Regions from separate parts of the Mus musculus genome. Here all the other regions are reported to be linked to region 1. Evidence: microRNA targets listed by miRTarBase, many of them from high-throughput screens and not tested one by one. Region 1 holds a microRNA gene; each other region holds the end of a gene's coding sequence.

What was found. The annotated mature microRNA mmu-miR-362-5p reads AAUCCUUGGAACCUAGGUGUGAAU and lies in region 1 at 869-892, shown strand. An mRNA with a match to its seed (bases 2 to 7 or 8) in the 3' UTR can be bound and repressed. Matches are read on the target gene's strand: a 7mer-m8 pairs with bases 2 to 8, a 7mer-A1 pairs with bases 2 to 7 and ends in A, and an 8mer does both.
Region 2: miRTarBase lists Neto2 as a target of mmu-miR-362-5p. The part of its 3' UTR that is shown has no 7-base or 8-base seed match.
Region 3: miRTarBase lists Igf1 as a target of mmu-miR-362-5p. Seed matches in the 3' UTR shown: 7mer-m8 at 1,761-1,767 and 7mer-A1 at 2,757-2,763.
Region 4: miRTarBase lists Xpr1 as a target of mmu-miR-362-5p. Seed matches in the 3' UTR shown: 8mer at 789-796.

The regions. Positions count from the first base shown.
Region 1 is chrX:7,239,731-7,242,910 of GRCm38, reverse strand. Mir362 (microRNA 362) reads left to right here and starts at 865; the gene lies at 865-929. The region is part of intron 2 of Clcn5 (chloride channel, voltage-sensitive 5); the gene reads left to right. Mir501 (microRNA 501) reads left to right here and starts at 1,560; the gene lies at 1,560-1,668.
Region 2 is chr8:85,637,863-85,641,042 of GRCm38, forward strand. Neto2 (neuropilin (NRP) and tolloid (TLL)-like 2) reads right to left here. Exons shown (of 9, transcript NM_001357288.1): 9 at 1-3,180. The coding sequence ends at 2,674. Among named protein-coding and RNA genes, the nearest start is that of Mir8109, 61 kb to the right of the region's middle.
Region 3 is chr10:87,930,474-87,933,643 of GRCm38, forward strand. Igf1 (insulin-like growth factor 1) reads left to right here. Exons shown (of 4, transcript NM_001111275.2): 4 at 202-3,170. The coding sequence ends at 261. Among named protein-coding and RNA genes, the nearest start is that of Igf1os, 69 kb to the left of the region's middle.
Region 4 is chr1:155,278,333-155,281,512 of GRCm38, reverse strand. It overlaps Xpr1 (xenotropic and polytropic retrovirus receptor 1), which reads left to right. Exons shown (of 15, transcript NM_011273.2): 15 at 443-3,180. The coding sequence ends at 503. Among named protein-coding and RNA genes, the nearest start is that of BC034090, 35 kb to the right of the region's middle.

The DNA.
Region 1 (3,180 bases):
TCACCCAGCCCCTTTTAGAAATACAAAATCTTGAGCTCACTAATGAGAAACCTCTGTAAGTTATCTTAGTACCAAGTCCTCCAGGTATCTGAAGTAACTTTAACAAGATGCTGATGTGTGTTAAAGGATGCCAATCTCTACTGCCATCTTGTGAGCTTATGGCCTCTTCTCTCTGTCTCTCTGTCTTTTTTTCTTTCAGTATTTTGTATCTCTGGCTTTATATTTTTATAATCTCAGAACAAAATATGAATGTATATATTTAGACAGGTTTCTCTGTCTCTGTCTGTCTGTCTGTCTGTCTGTCTCTCTGTCTCTGTCTCTCTTTGTCTCTGTGTCTGTCTGTCACTCTGTCTCTCTCTCTCTCTCTCTCTCTCTCTCTCTTTCTGTGTATGTGTGTGGAGGGTGCAGAGGTCAACCTGAGGTGCTTCCCCTTTGGGGACATCTACCCTGTTTTTTGAAACAGTCTCTAATAGGGACTTGGCACTCACCAGTTAGGCCAAGGGATCTAGCTTTCTTTGAGTCCTCACGCTTGGCTCTTTTATGTGGAGGCTGGGAGTTGAACTCAGGTGCCTAGACATACTTAATGTGAAGCTCAAGAACATTGTCTTCTTTCTCATCACAGATAAGCACCTTGTGTCAAAGGTGAGCCCATGCGTTCATTTGCTGTGAGCCTTTTGCCCTGCTTCAGTTCTCTGATCCTTGCTACCTGGGTGAGAGTGTTCTTCAGCAAGGATTCTGAGAGCCAGACCTTTGTGTTTGTAAAGGACAGAGCGCATCTCTCGTTCTCTTTTAGTGTGTTGCACACAAGCATATTGACCACACACAGGAAGGGCAGGTTCCTGAGCCTTCTTGCTTGCTCCCCCTCTCGAATCCTTGGAACCTAGGTGTGAATGCTGCTTCAGTGCAACACACCTGTTCAAGGATTCAAAGAGGCTGAGCCTTGTCTGCGTGTAGAATGGCCCATACTTGCACATCTCACCTGCCACCTTCCCTCCTCCTGGCCACCATTTGATTTTGGTTTTAGCTGTCAGACTTGGTTCTACACATTTTCTAACAGCAAAATGGTCTTTATCATGTTTGGTAGACATGCTTCTATTCTCAGCATGAGCTTTCTTGATTCCCAGTTTGCTAAGTGTCAGATCATGTGATGAGGAGCACACATTAGGTGCTGCTACTCAGGCAACCCGTTTGTTACATCCAGTGATAACCCCTGTTCCACAAAGCTTGAATTGTATAAAGGCATTGGAAAGGAATGGAGTATCCTCCTCCACTGTGCCCTCTTTCAGTATGTATATGCATTCTCAGATCCCAGCCTTCTTGCTACCTTCCAAACATAAATCAGGCCCCCACAAATTCTCAAGTATGATCTGGGAGAGATACCATTTTGTATACGTAGAAGTTTTCTCTGAGAGAGGATGCTCATGGTGGGAAGGGGGCAGATACATATATAAATCAGGGATGTCAAGCTTGGGTATAGGTGGTGATGCTTGGCTGAATCAGGACAAGGAAAATTAAATATTATATACAGAACCACACAAACATGGTACAGGTGCCTGGGCCTTCTGCTCTGCTCATCCTCTCTAATCCTTTGTCCCTGGGTGAAAATGCTATTTGTATGCAATGCACCCGGGCAAGGATTTGGGGAAGGTGAGCCTGATCTGCATGGAGAAGGACAGGAGGTCTGTGCATCATATCTCATCTGTTTGCTGCTTGCATACTTCTTTTATGCCTCCCCCCACCTTCTTTCCTTCTACAAATACAACGGGCATGGTGCATGGGAGAGTAAATGTGACAAATTTGGCCTCTTCCCACCTAGATTTTATAGGTAGAACTTTATTTCCACTTATGACCCTAACAGGTATCAAGAACAAGTGGGGCACATAGTAAACTGTGTATTGACATAAGTGCGCAGCTTTTCATTCTAGTTCTCATACCGACACCTGGAAGAGAAATTCTTCTTTAGTTCAACTCTTGGAGGAATGCACAGGGCAAGAACAGTAAGCCTTCTTGTTGAACCCACATGCCAAGGGCATAGGTGCAGGCTGTGCCTTTCTAGTACTTGCTACTTGGATGAGTGTGCTTTGCGAATGCAATATACCTGGGCAAGGGTTCAGACATTGAGTTATCTTCATGTAGGACCTTTACGCCTCCTTCCACTGTTTCCTGTCTATTTATTCAGTATGGCAGGTACTCAACTAGGGATTTGGTCCACAGGAGTATGAACCACATGTGGTTCAGGGAGCAAATGGTCCAGGGAGAGTGAGCTGTGTCACATCCATTATGCCTGCATGAGTGGACTGTAGACTGGGACTTCATGTACACTGTCCACTTGGATTCTTCCATATTTTAACACAGTCCCATATAAATGCAGTGTATACAGAGGAGAGGATTCACAGACTTGTGCCCACAGAGAGGATTATCTGACCTGATTCATCAGGAACATTAATCCTCAGCACAAGTGCTGTTTTCAATAGTAAGTCCTGTCCAAGGAATCCAAAGGGTGGCACTTCGCCTGCACTTTAAAGGACAGAGCCCCTATATGTCCACACCCCTGTTCCTTTTCCTTCCTTTCACAAATATTCAGGTATGCACTATTTGATACAGCTCTGTTAGTCATAGAGGATGTAGCAGGAAACAAAATGAACAGAGGTGCTACTCTCTTAGGAGACTAATAAACACACTAAGATCCTTGACTATTATAGACTCACCAACTGCTGTTCAAAAGAATGACCTAGGTCTATTGTTCCTTGTTTTCTATTCTGTATGAATGACTCAGTGCAGGGTCTGATAGATGAGATTTCTCAAACTATTCCCCCTCCCATGGCCCTAGATATGCCTAAACACATGGGCCTACGTGGAGAGGAGTCACTCGCTCACAGGAAGAGTGGATATGGAGCCTATTGTGTTGTTCCCTCTCCTCATCCCTTCAGCCCGAAGACCAGTAGACTAAGTGACTTCTTGTCAACTACCATCACTACTCCCATTTGAAGACAGGAGCTTACTGTCTTACTGTGTAGCTCTGTCCCTCAAGCTGATTCTCCTATACCCACCTCCATAGGTCATACTTTTCTACACACATTTGCAAGCTGGCCTGGGCAACATGTGATCCCAAAAGAAAAGTGAATCTCTTTCATGTTAAAAATAGTAGTCTTTATATCATGTATATTTTTTATTCAGATG
Region 2 (3,180 bases), not on the chromosome of region 1:
AAAGCTAAGGGAGCCTTTCAGATCCATGATGTGAAATGTAAACATCCTTTGGTTTTTGTTCAATATTTATATTGATAACTCTCTTCTGCAAACAAATAACAGTTTATTCCCATGTCTTTGAGACAGTGGGATGTGTAGGTTGCAGTCTGTGGCTACTTGGGAGCTGACAGCTTGTAGTGAACTTGGGATGAACGACAGCAATGTGTTGGTATCATATAGTTTGTACTTAGTACTTTCTTGCACTGGAGATTTTTACTATCCTCTGGCTTTGCATTTTTCACTGAAGGGTGTGTTTAACACAGGTACTTTGTAGGGTATAATAACTCACATAAGACAGCTTAACTTCATATTTGTTACTGCTTAAGTTTATGGCTTTCACTTTAGCCTCTGAATATAAGTGTTTTCTACTGTGAAAAGGATCAACTTTCTAGTTAGAGAATTTAGAACCAAATGATCACCCGAGTTTCTCTTGCTGATGCATGAGATCATGCAAATTTACATGGTTGGAATGTTCAGTATTTTGTACAAACAACTGTTTTGTAAATCCCTTCAAATTCCTTTAAAATAGAATAGTGTTAAAAATAAAAATACACCTACAAGTGATCATGATGTATGAAGGCATACTATAAACTATAATCTTAAAATTAATGATGAATATGACAACTATTTTTATAGTGGATATAATTTATAAAATTGTTAATTTTTATTTCACTATGGTATCATAGCTATCAATTTAAGTATTTACTATGGTGTTGGAGTGGTGGCTGGTCTAAGTCACATAATAAAATGCTTATAGTTACTGAAAGAACATTTAATTTTTCTCTGGATAGTTCAGTGATTACTATGTTTTGAGATTCCTTTTACTTTTCCAAGTTCTATTTTACAAAGCAGGAACATCTACTGACTTAAAAAATTAAGTCATGCTTATGCCAAGGGTAAGTTTTCCCAATATTCTTGATATAATTTCCTTTTTAAAAATAAAAAAAATGTCATACAGAAAACACACTTTGGTCAGAAAGTACATCACACTAAAGGTCAAAGTTTTTAGTAATCTGAGAAATCAGATTTATGTAGTACTTAAAAAAATAAATGAAATCTAGTGAAACCTCAACTTTTCATTCATTGGAAATTTAGTTCAATATAGAAAATGAGAATTTACTTCTTTAAAATGGCATTATCTCTATTGGTTATCATTAAATATATGAATTCTTCCTCATCTATATCTTATTCAAAGGATTCCTGCTATAAATAATATAATTGAAGGATCATGAATTAATGTATACTCTAATATAAGATTTCTGTTGTGATTTAGAACAATAAATACCACACAGTGAAAAACTTATTACCAACTAACACAGCAGCAAAAGAAAGAAAAATGTATGTACATATCACCATGAGCAAGGTCTTTATAATAAATTACAGTACAGTCCCATCACAGTATTCTTCTATATAAAGTCACTACTGTGAAGACTTAAAGAAATTGTCTTGTATGTCTTAAATCTTGATCTAATAAAGTTTATACAATATCAAATAATATCAAAAGTCTAAAAAAACACAATGAGTTTTGATACCGTGTTTATAAATTATTGTTTTATATACTTTAAAAAACATAAGGTTAAAAGTGCAGCTTAAAAAAAAAGTTGAAATTGCTCTTCTCGATAATGGGTAGAAAAATGCACTGTTTCAAGCAGAAGCTATGTAAAGGCTAACACAGTTTCTCTGAGAATTTCTTTAAGCTTCCACCAACCATGGCCATGTCCAAGACAAACCAATACCAAGAGAACAAAGAAATCGTTTTGAAAGATGATAGGGAATAAGATCTGAGAAGCTCTGCATGGAGCCATAATTAAAGGTCTGCTCACAGGTGAGTTCTAGGACCCTGATTACTGTCACTGAATTGAGACCCAGTGGGGAAAACTTCAGAGGTTGCTACAAGTTTTTAATCTTTCTCAAAATTCTGTTCATGTGTATCTGGTAATAATATACCCTAGGATTCTTACTTTTTTAGTATAACTAAGATGAAACATGATTAAAGGTGATAAGTCCTACTTCCCATAGAAAAGCAGAACTAAAGATGCAGTTATTAAAGACAACAGTGTAGAAATCAGTCAGGAAGAAATGAAATATGACTGCATCTTAAACTGCCACTTATTACAGTACTAGCCGTATTACACTCATTTAGGAGCAAATGCATGGCCATGCTGAATTGAGTGACATATTATCCCCGTCTGCAGGAAACTGAAATGGTAAAACCACAGGCAAAGAAAACATAACAGAAAAAAGAAGGACAAAAGGAATATAAAGAAAAAACTTTTAAATTTACTGTGAGATCAAGTTGATGGGGCTGTGCAGACACGCACAGTGCCTGGTGTTCACAGCACCGGGCTGCTCTGCCTGACTTAACATGCATGACCTGCTCCTCAGCTGCTATTGCACTGGTGGTGTTTTACAGGTTAAGATACCAGCAACAGATGATGCCTTCTTTCCACTGAATACATTTAAGTTTCTTAGTTGGTTTCACATATATAGATTGCCTGAGATAATAAAATCATCAGCATTATGATAAGTTATGAAGGGCTTTCTAAATTTGATAGAACAAGATTGGATGCGGAGATAGAATGAGTGTTGGTGTAGGCTGCATACACACTTAACAATAATGCCTTTAGTCAGCAATTAAAAGTCGATGGATATGGATGCTTGTGCAGAATCGTCTCGCCCTCTGACATAAATTTCACAGGGAATCTCCTCCATCACTCTGTCCTCTAGAGCCTGTTCAGGGCACTCATGAGCTTGTTTGAAAGTGTAGCTGCTTTTTTTGAAGGTGCTATTAAATGTTTTCATTGGCTGTGGTTGTGCAAAATCATTTCGGAAGGGAAGTTCCATGGAACTGAGGTTGGTCCTGCTTTGTTTCACACTGGATGCTTGTGATCCACAGTGGTGGTCGTGAATGCACCGGGAGGCCGTGGAGGAGCGCCGCAACTTCTGGTAGTTGTCAAGTTCTTCTGACAAATCTGCCAGATCTGCAGAAATCTCTTTCTCTCTTAGTGAAAATAGTTCATAATGAGGAGGATCAAATACTTCCTGGAACCCAGTTTTATTAAATGCAGTTTTGCAAGCCATAACCTTTTTCCGGGGCTGTTTCACTTGTACTAAAATAGAAATAATGAGAAGGACCAAGAC
Region 3 (3,170 bases), not on the chromosome of region 1:
CTAGCATAATAAAGAAATAATGATTCAATACCTGCAAAGGTATTGAAATACTACTCTGTTCAGTCATGGCATATGAGTATCAAGTTAATTATCTATCACACACTGGCTAAAAAACATAAGGGATAAATGAATCGCTTAAAGACATAAATGGATATAGAAAACCACAACAACTTAATGGCCGCTTATCTTTCTTATTTGCAGGAAGTACATTTGAAGAACACAAGTAGAGGAAGTGCAGGAAACAAGACCTACAGAATGTAGGAGGAGCCTCCCACGGAGCAGAAAATGCCACATCACCGCAGGATCCTTTGCTGCTTGAGCAACCTGCAAAACATCGAAACACCTACCAAATAACAATAATAAGTCCAATAACATTACAAAGATGGGCATTTCCCCCAATGAAATATACAAGTAAACATTCCAACATCGTCTTTAGGAGTGTTTGTTTAAAAAGCTTTGCACCTTGCAAAAGTGGTCCTGGCGTGGGTAGATTGCTGTTGGTCCTTTATCAATAACATTCTATAGAGAAAAAAAATATATATATAACTATATCTCCTAGTCCCTGCCTCTAAAGAGCCGAAAATGCATGGATGTTGTAGAGATCCAGTTGCTCTAAGTTTCTCTCTGAATTTTGGCTGCTGAAGCCATTCATTTAGCAACTGTGTAGAGGTGGTTTATGAATGGTTCCCTTATCTTCACCTCTTCCCACGTAGCTCAAGCTGCTTGTTTTACAGAGTCTAATCATCTTGTCTAGCTGCATTAGACACACCCTTTCCTAACACTTGTATTTGTTGAATTTGGCCTCCTTAAGAGCAATAGCAAATAAGTAGTCAAGTGGCCTACCAAGTTTTAACGTACCTGACTCCATCTGTGGCATTTGTACCAAATATAAGTTGAATGCATTTATTTTAGACACAAAGCTTTATTTTTTTTGACATTGTGTTTCAAGAAAAAAAATAGAATAACAATAACTACAACTTTGAGGCCAATCATTTTTAGGTGTGTGTTTGAAGCATAGAACGTCTCTTAAACTCTCAATGGTTTCTTCAAATGATAAGTTAGTATGTAACCTAAGTATAGCAGTTTCTCTCTTTTTTATTTTTTTCCATATAGAGCACTATGTAAAGTTAGTATATCAATAATACAGGAAATATCAAACAGTATGTAAAACTCTGTTGTTGTTGTTTTTTAGTACAATGGTGCTATTTTGTAGTTTGTTATATGAAAGAATCTAGTCAACACAGTAAAAGGAGAAAGCAAAGCAAAAACAACAAACGAAAGCCTGGAGCCTAAGATGACAAAACGAGGAAGGGAACTGAAAAAAAAAATCCTTCCTCTTGGGAGATGCAAAGGCCTCCCCAATTATGCCTTCCAAGAAGAACTTAAGATATAGAGTCCATTAAGACGCACTTACTTGTCAAGTCCAGAGAGGAAGCTATGGAGTGGGAAAAGCAAGAGGCTAGGGATTTGGGAGTCCTGGTTTCTTTTTAATCACTGAAGAAGTAAGTATTTGCAACCTGGGTCACACAAACTCACCACCCTGTGACCTCAGTCAAATCACTCCACCTCTCGGTGCCTCAGTTTTCCTCATCTGCAAAATGGGGGCAATATGTCATCTACCTACCTCAAAGGGGTGGTATGAAGATTAAAAAGTAGACCTTCAGATTTTTGTTCTGGGTTTCCAGGAGGGTGCAACATCAGAACCCTTGAATTGCTAGGATGCAAGGAATTCTGTAAATAACCCACTAACAATGTAGCTCCAAGGATCATTCATCTGTCACTGGGATGCCACCACAATATCCAAGTTCTTATTGGTGAAGCTGTGCAACTAATTAGTGACAAGCTAAGGACTCAGTCTCCCCAGCATGTCACACGGCAGGAGACATTTGATTTGCAGTTTTATTTAACTTCTGCATTTGAGCTTATGACTATAAAGACTAGTGAAAAGAAGGGAGAGAGGAGAAAGAAGATCCTTGCCAAGTAAAGGGTAATTAATTATTATTCCATTTATCCACTCTCATTAAAGGGTAATTAATTATTCCATGTATCCACTCTCATTAATCCTTCCAGTCACTTAGTATCTAGAAATAACTCTAACATTGTCAATGAGACTCTACTCAGTTTGCCAAACACAATTCTCCTTCCCCATAGCATATGAAAAAAAGGCGCTGACATTCTTAAATTTTGAAATAGTATCTATTACAATCACAGGTTGCTGTAGCAGATGTAGTCTTGCCCTTGTTTGTACATGCATGTATTTTTTTTTTAATTTTATGAAAATGTGCTAGCAAGAATTGCTACTTGAGGGGCAAAATTCTTCCTTCTCAAGCCTGAGGTTCTCCCTAGTGTCTGCTTAGAAGGAAGGATCCAGCTTCCTGGAAATGTGTTGGATGCATTCAACTGGGCATTGCTAACCAAAAACATTTAGAAAAATGTTCTCTATGTATATAGCAAGATTGTCTCCCTCTTTTAAAAACAAAATCCAATATTCACATCTTATTACCTACAACCTTGATTCTCTATTGCAAGCTTCCTTAATATTCTTATAAAATGTATTAAGAAAAACAAAAAGGACACCTTTAGCTCTCCTTCCGCCAGGTTGCCTCTAGAATCTCTGGGGAAATGCAGAAGGTGCTGTTGAGTAAAGCCCTCAGAAGGATTGGATTTAGGAACATCAGGCACGCTGTACATCCCCTGATTACTGTAGAAATGTAAATGGAATAAGAGGTCAGCTGACCATCCACCTGCTTCCCCAGAAGGATACAGGGAAAAGTTAGGCCCTCACACACCCTGGGTGACACTTCTGACTTCTAGTTCTTGTTCACAGTGTGTACTTTTTCAAATTGGTAATTCCCAGAAAAACACATAGGTGGCCTTCTCCAGATCTGTGGGCTTCCTGCCATGGTTGGATTTGGTGATTCCAAGTGTCTATCACATATTTTGTTCACTTAATTCTATCCACAGTCAGAAATTCTTTCAATGAGGAAAGTTTAAATATGCAATCCTTTATCCAATACCTAATTCTCTCCAACTGCATCATAAATCAAGTAATAAAAATTAATTGTACTAATTAATCATAATAATGTACCATTGTACTTTTAAATGAATGAACACTGCAAGACAAATCTATGTAAACTCTGAAAAGTAACTGATCATTATATGGTGAATCA
Region 4 (3,180 bases), not on the chromosome of region 1:
TAAGGTGAGACCTGAGTCTCAGCTCTGACGTCATAGATTCATACAGCCTTAGCACAGCCTTAGCCTCCTGAATGTCAGCCTCCCCATCTGTCAAGTGGGAGTAACAGATCTCCTGTCAGAAACACTGCCTTCACTGTTGAGGCTAACGAGTGTCGGGTTACCCAGTCCCATTTTTATTCGGTACAAGAATCTCTGCACAGCCTCCTAAATCAGCAGCGCTAACAGTTTGACCGAGGCTCCTGGCTATCACTGTACCAGTGCTCAAACTCAGATCCTTGTTTCCGGGTACTGCTCCGTCTTTAATTCAGCCTACTGCTGTTCCTACCTCTCCACTTGCAGTACATAGCTCCTGGGTAGTGTGCGTGCTTGCTAGTGGGAAGAGTGGACCCAGCAGCACTGCATGGGACTGATCATACATGTTCATTTCCTCTGATCACGCTAGATCCAAGGCTCGCGACACTAAGGTATTGATAGAAGACACAGATGACGAAGCTAACACTTGAATTCGCTGAAGTCTAGAGTAACATCCTTGGTTTTCTACTCTACAATCCTTTCCTCGACCAACGCAACCTCCAGCACCTTTTTCCAGCTGAGAACAGGAGAAAACAGAACACGTTCCCGGGCTCTTCAGATCGGGTCCTATGGACTCCGAGCAAGCTCACTGTGTTTCTTTTCTTTTCTTCTGGTTTAATCTTCATTTTCTATTTTTAAAACAAATACTTCATTTTGCCAATCAGAAGATGTTTTAAGGAACAAACACCTACTATCTTACGGATTGTTTACAATCACAAGGATACAGAAGCCCATCAGGATGAAGAGAAGCTTTGGAAGGAACGTCTGATGCACAGCCCAGAGAGCTCAGCTTCGCCGGCCGGTTTTGACTGTCTGAAACCGGACACCGGTTTTTAAATTTTCTGTCAGTTTCTATGGAGAGTTTTTCCCTTCCTTCATAGCCAGTGCAGAGACACTGGCAGCACTTGCAGGGAAAGTGCAGCTTGGAGCAGCACCTCCTCCACAAAGCTACTTTTAATTCGATGTGACTTTTCTCATCTGGGGAGGGCTTCGGGTGGGTGGGGAATATGCTGTATTCGTTACATACAGTTTCTCATTATTTATGAAACTTAACCATAAATGAATGCTACTCCTGTGAAGGGAGGCAGGAGGAACTAAGGCTCACTGGCACTGCGGAGGGTCAACCCCACACACCTCTTTCAGGAAACAACTAGTTGATTTTTTTCCCCTCATTTGTTTTAACTTTAAACCAAAGTTTTATTGCTAAATTTTAAGTTGCTGCTCTAGAGTCCCAAGCATCACTGTCATGACCAGGCAGGCATCCCCCTTGCATCCCAGTGGTGGAAATCCAGAGAAAAGGCTCTGACTGTTGTTTCTCTAGGAACAGGTGCAGGATACAGTCACCCAAATACCAGTCACAAAAATGACGGTTTGCCACGTGCTTCTGCATGTAGAATTGTAATCTTTACCAGTGGAAAGACAGGCCTGTTTCAGGCCCCTCACACTTTATTAGACATTTCCCCTTCTGGTCTCACCTTCTTCAGCCAGAATTTGATCAAATTAAAAGTCTTTTGTGGGGACTGTATTTCTGAGCATCTAGAACAAATCCTTTATATTCATCGACACAAAAGATCTTGGTGGCTATTTTTAAACCCAGCTGTATTAAAAGGTGATGTTGAATTTTACGACACCCCTACCATGGCCTGCTTTTAAATTCGGGGCTTCTAAACCTGGTTGTACTTTTTAAATTATATTTCTTAGAAAATTCAGGATATAAATACCTACTTTATTCTCTATCTCACCCCCTTTCTTCATAAATTCTCTAGAGAAGCCTAAAAACATACAGCGCTTGACTGTCTTGAAAATGGTTGGTTTCATATCTGGTACTCATCAGCTTGTCACTGGGAATCTAGATCGTTGGTAGTAGTGACTGCCCAGCATTCTTGAGACCCTTGATTTTCTCTCCAGCATGGGTCAGGGTAGAGAAACAGCCATTATTCAGTAAAATTAATATAAATACCAGGAAAAGGTAAATAAATGGCCCCACCCTTCAGATCTAGATAAAAGTCCCACGTAGGAGGGCCATGAACGTGTGCCCTTGTCAGATGAACTTTAGACTAAGAAACCGGTGACTAGGGAAACAGCAGTAACACTTACATTGTTTTAAAACTTGGCTACTGCCCCTTAGCTCGTGCTTGTCATTAGCTCCTCCTGCATATCAAACCCTTACTCACTAAAGTTACAGCACTGCTAAAATCCTACTGATTAACTCACCAGCTTCCGTTTACAAAGTTTCTTCCATTTTTATTCTGACAAAGTTCCATTTTTTTCCTCCTTTCTCGATTGAGATTTTTAACAACACCTTGCCCCCATCCCCCACCCCAAAAAAGCTCACTCAATGTTGTAGGTTCTGTTGCTTTTTGTGTTTTGCCAAGCATGTCCCTTGCCCCAAAACTAAAGAGCAAATGTTTATTTAAAGTAAAAACAAAACTATAAATAAATTGTATACTTTATAATAATCAGTGGTAACAATTTAGAGACCCTGGCAGATTAAAGGTTGCATTATTTTTATTTAGATTTTTTTCCCTTACTATTTTGTACTTTAAAGCTGGGGATAGATTTCACTGGTTTCTGAGGTAACAGCAGTAACGATTAGGAATATATAGAAAAGTTCAGTGACCAGTCATTTCTTGTACAAATAAAATCAGTGGTACTGTGTATCCAGAGCCCTGTGAATTGTCAGCTTCTTTCTCTGGTAGTGAGCTGAGTGGCGGCACACACTCCTCACAGTTGACTCCTGATGTTCCAGCTCTCTGATGTCTTTATGTCAGGTAACACAGAGCCAGTTTGGTCTTTCTCCCCCTGCCAGGATCCCAGGCCCTAATCAGTATTATTTCTTTCATAAACAGTAAGTGATGGAGTATATTCCTTTTCTGATATCTGTCCTGTTGACCACTCAGACGTAAGTTTACAAGCTGTGCGGCTTACATGGCAGACGCTCCAACGTGTATTCAGATGCTCTGGCTGCATCCCTTCCCAGCTCTAAAGAGATTTCTCCATCAAAAGACTTTAGGAAACGACATATGCATTAATTATTTTCCTTTGAAAAAGGCAATGTGCATTTTTCTTTCCTCAGTTTCATCTGCCCCAGGCACTGTGAGCAGTGTC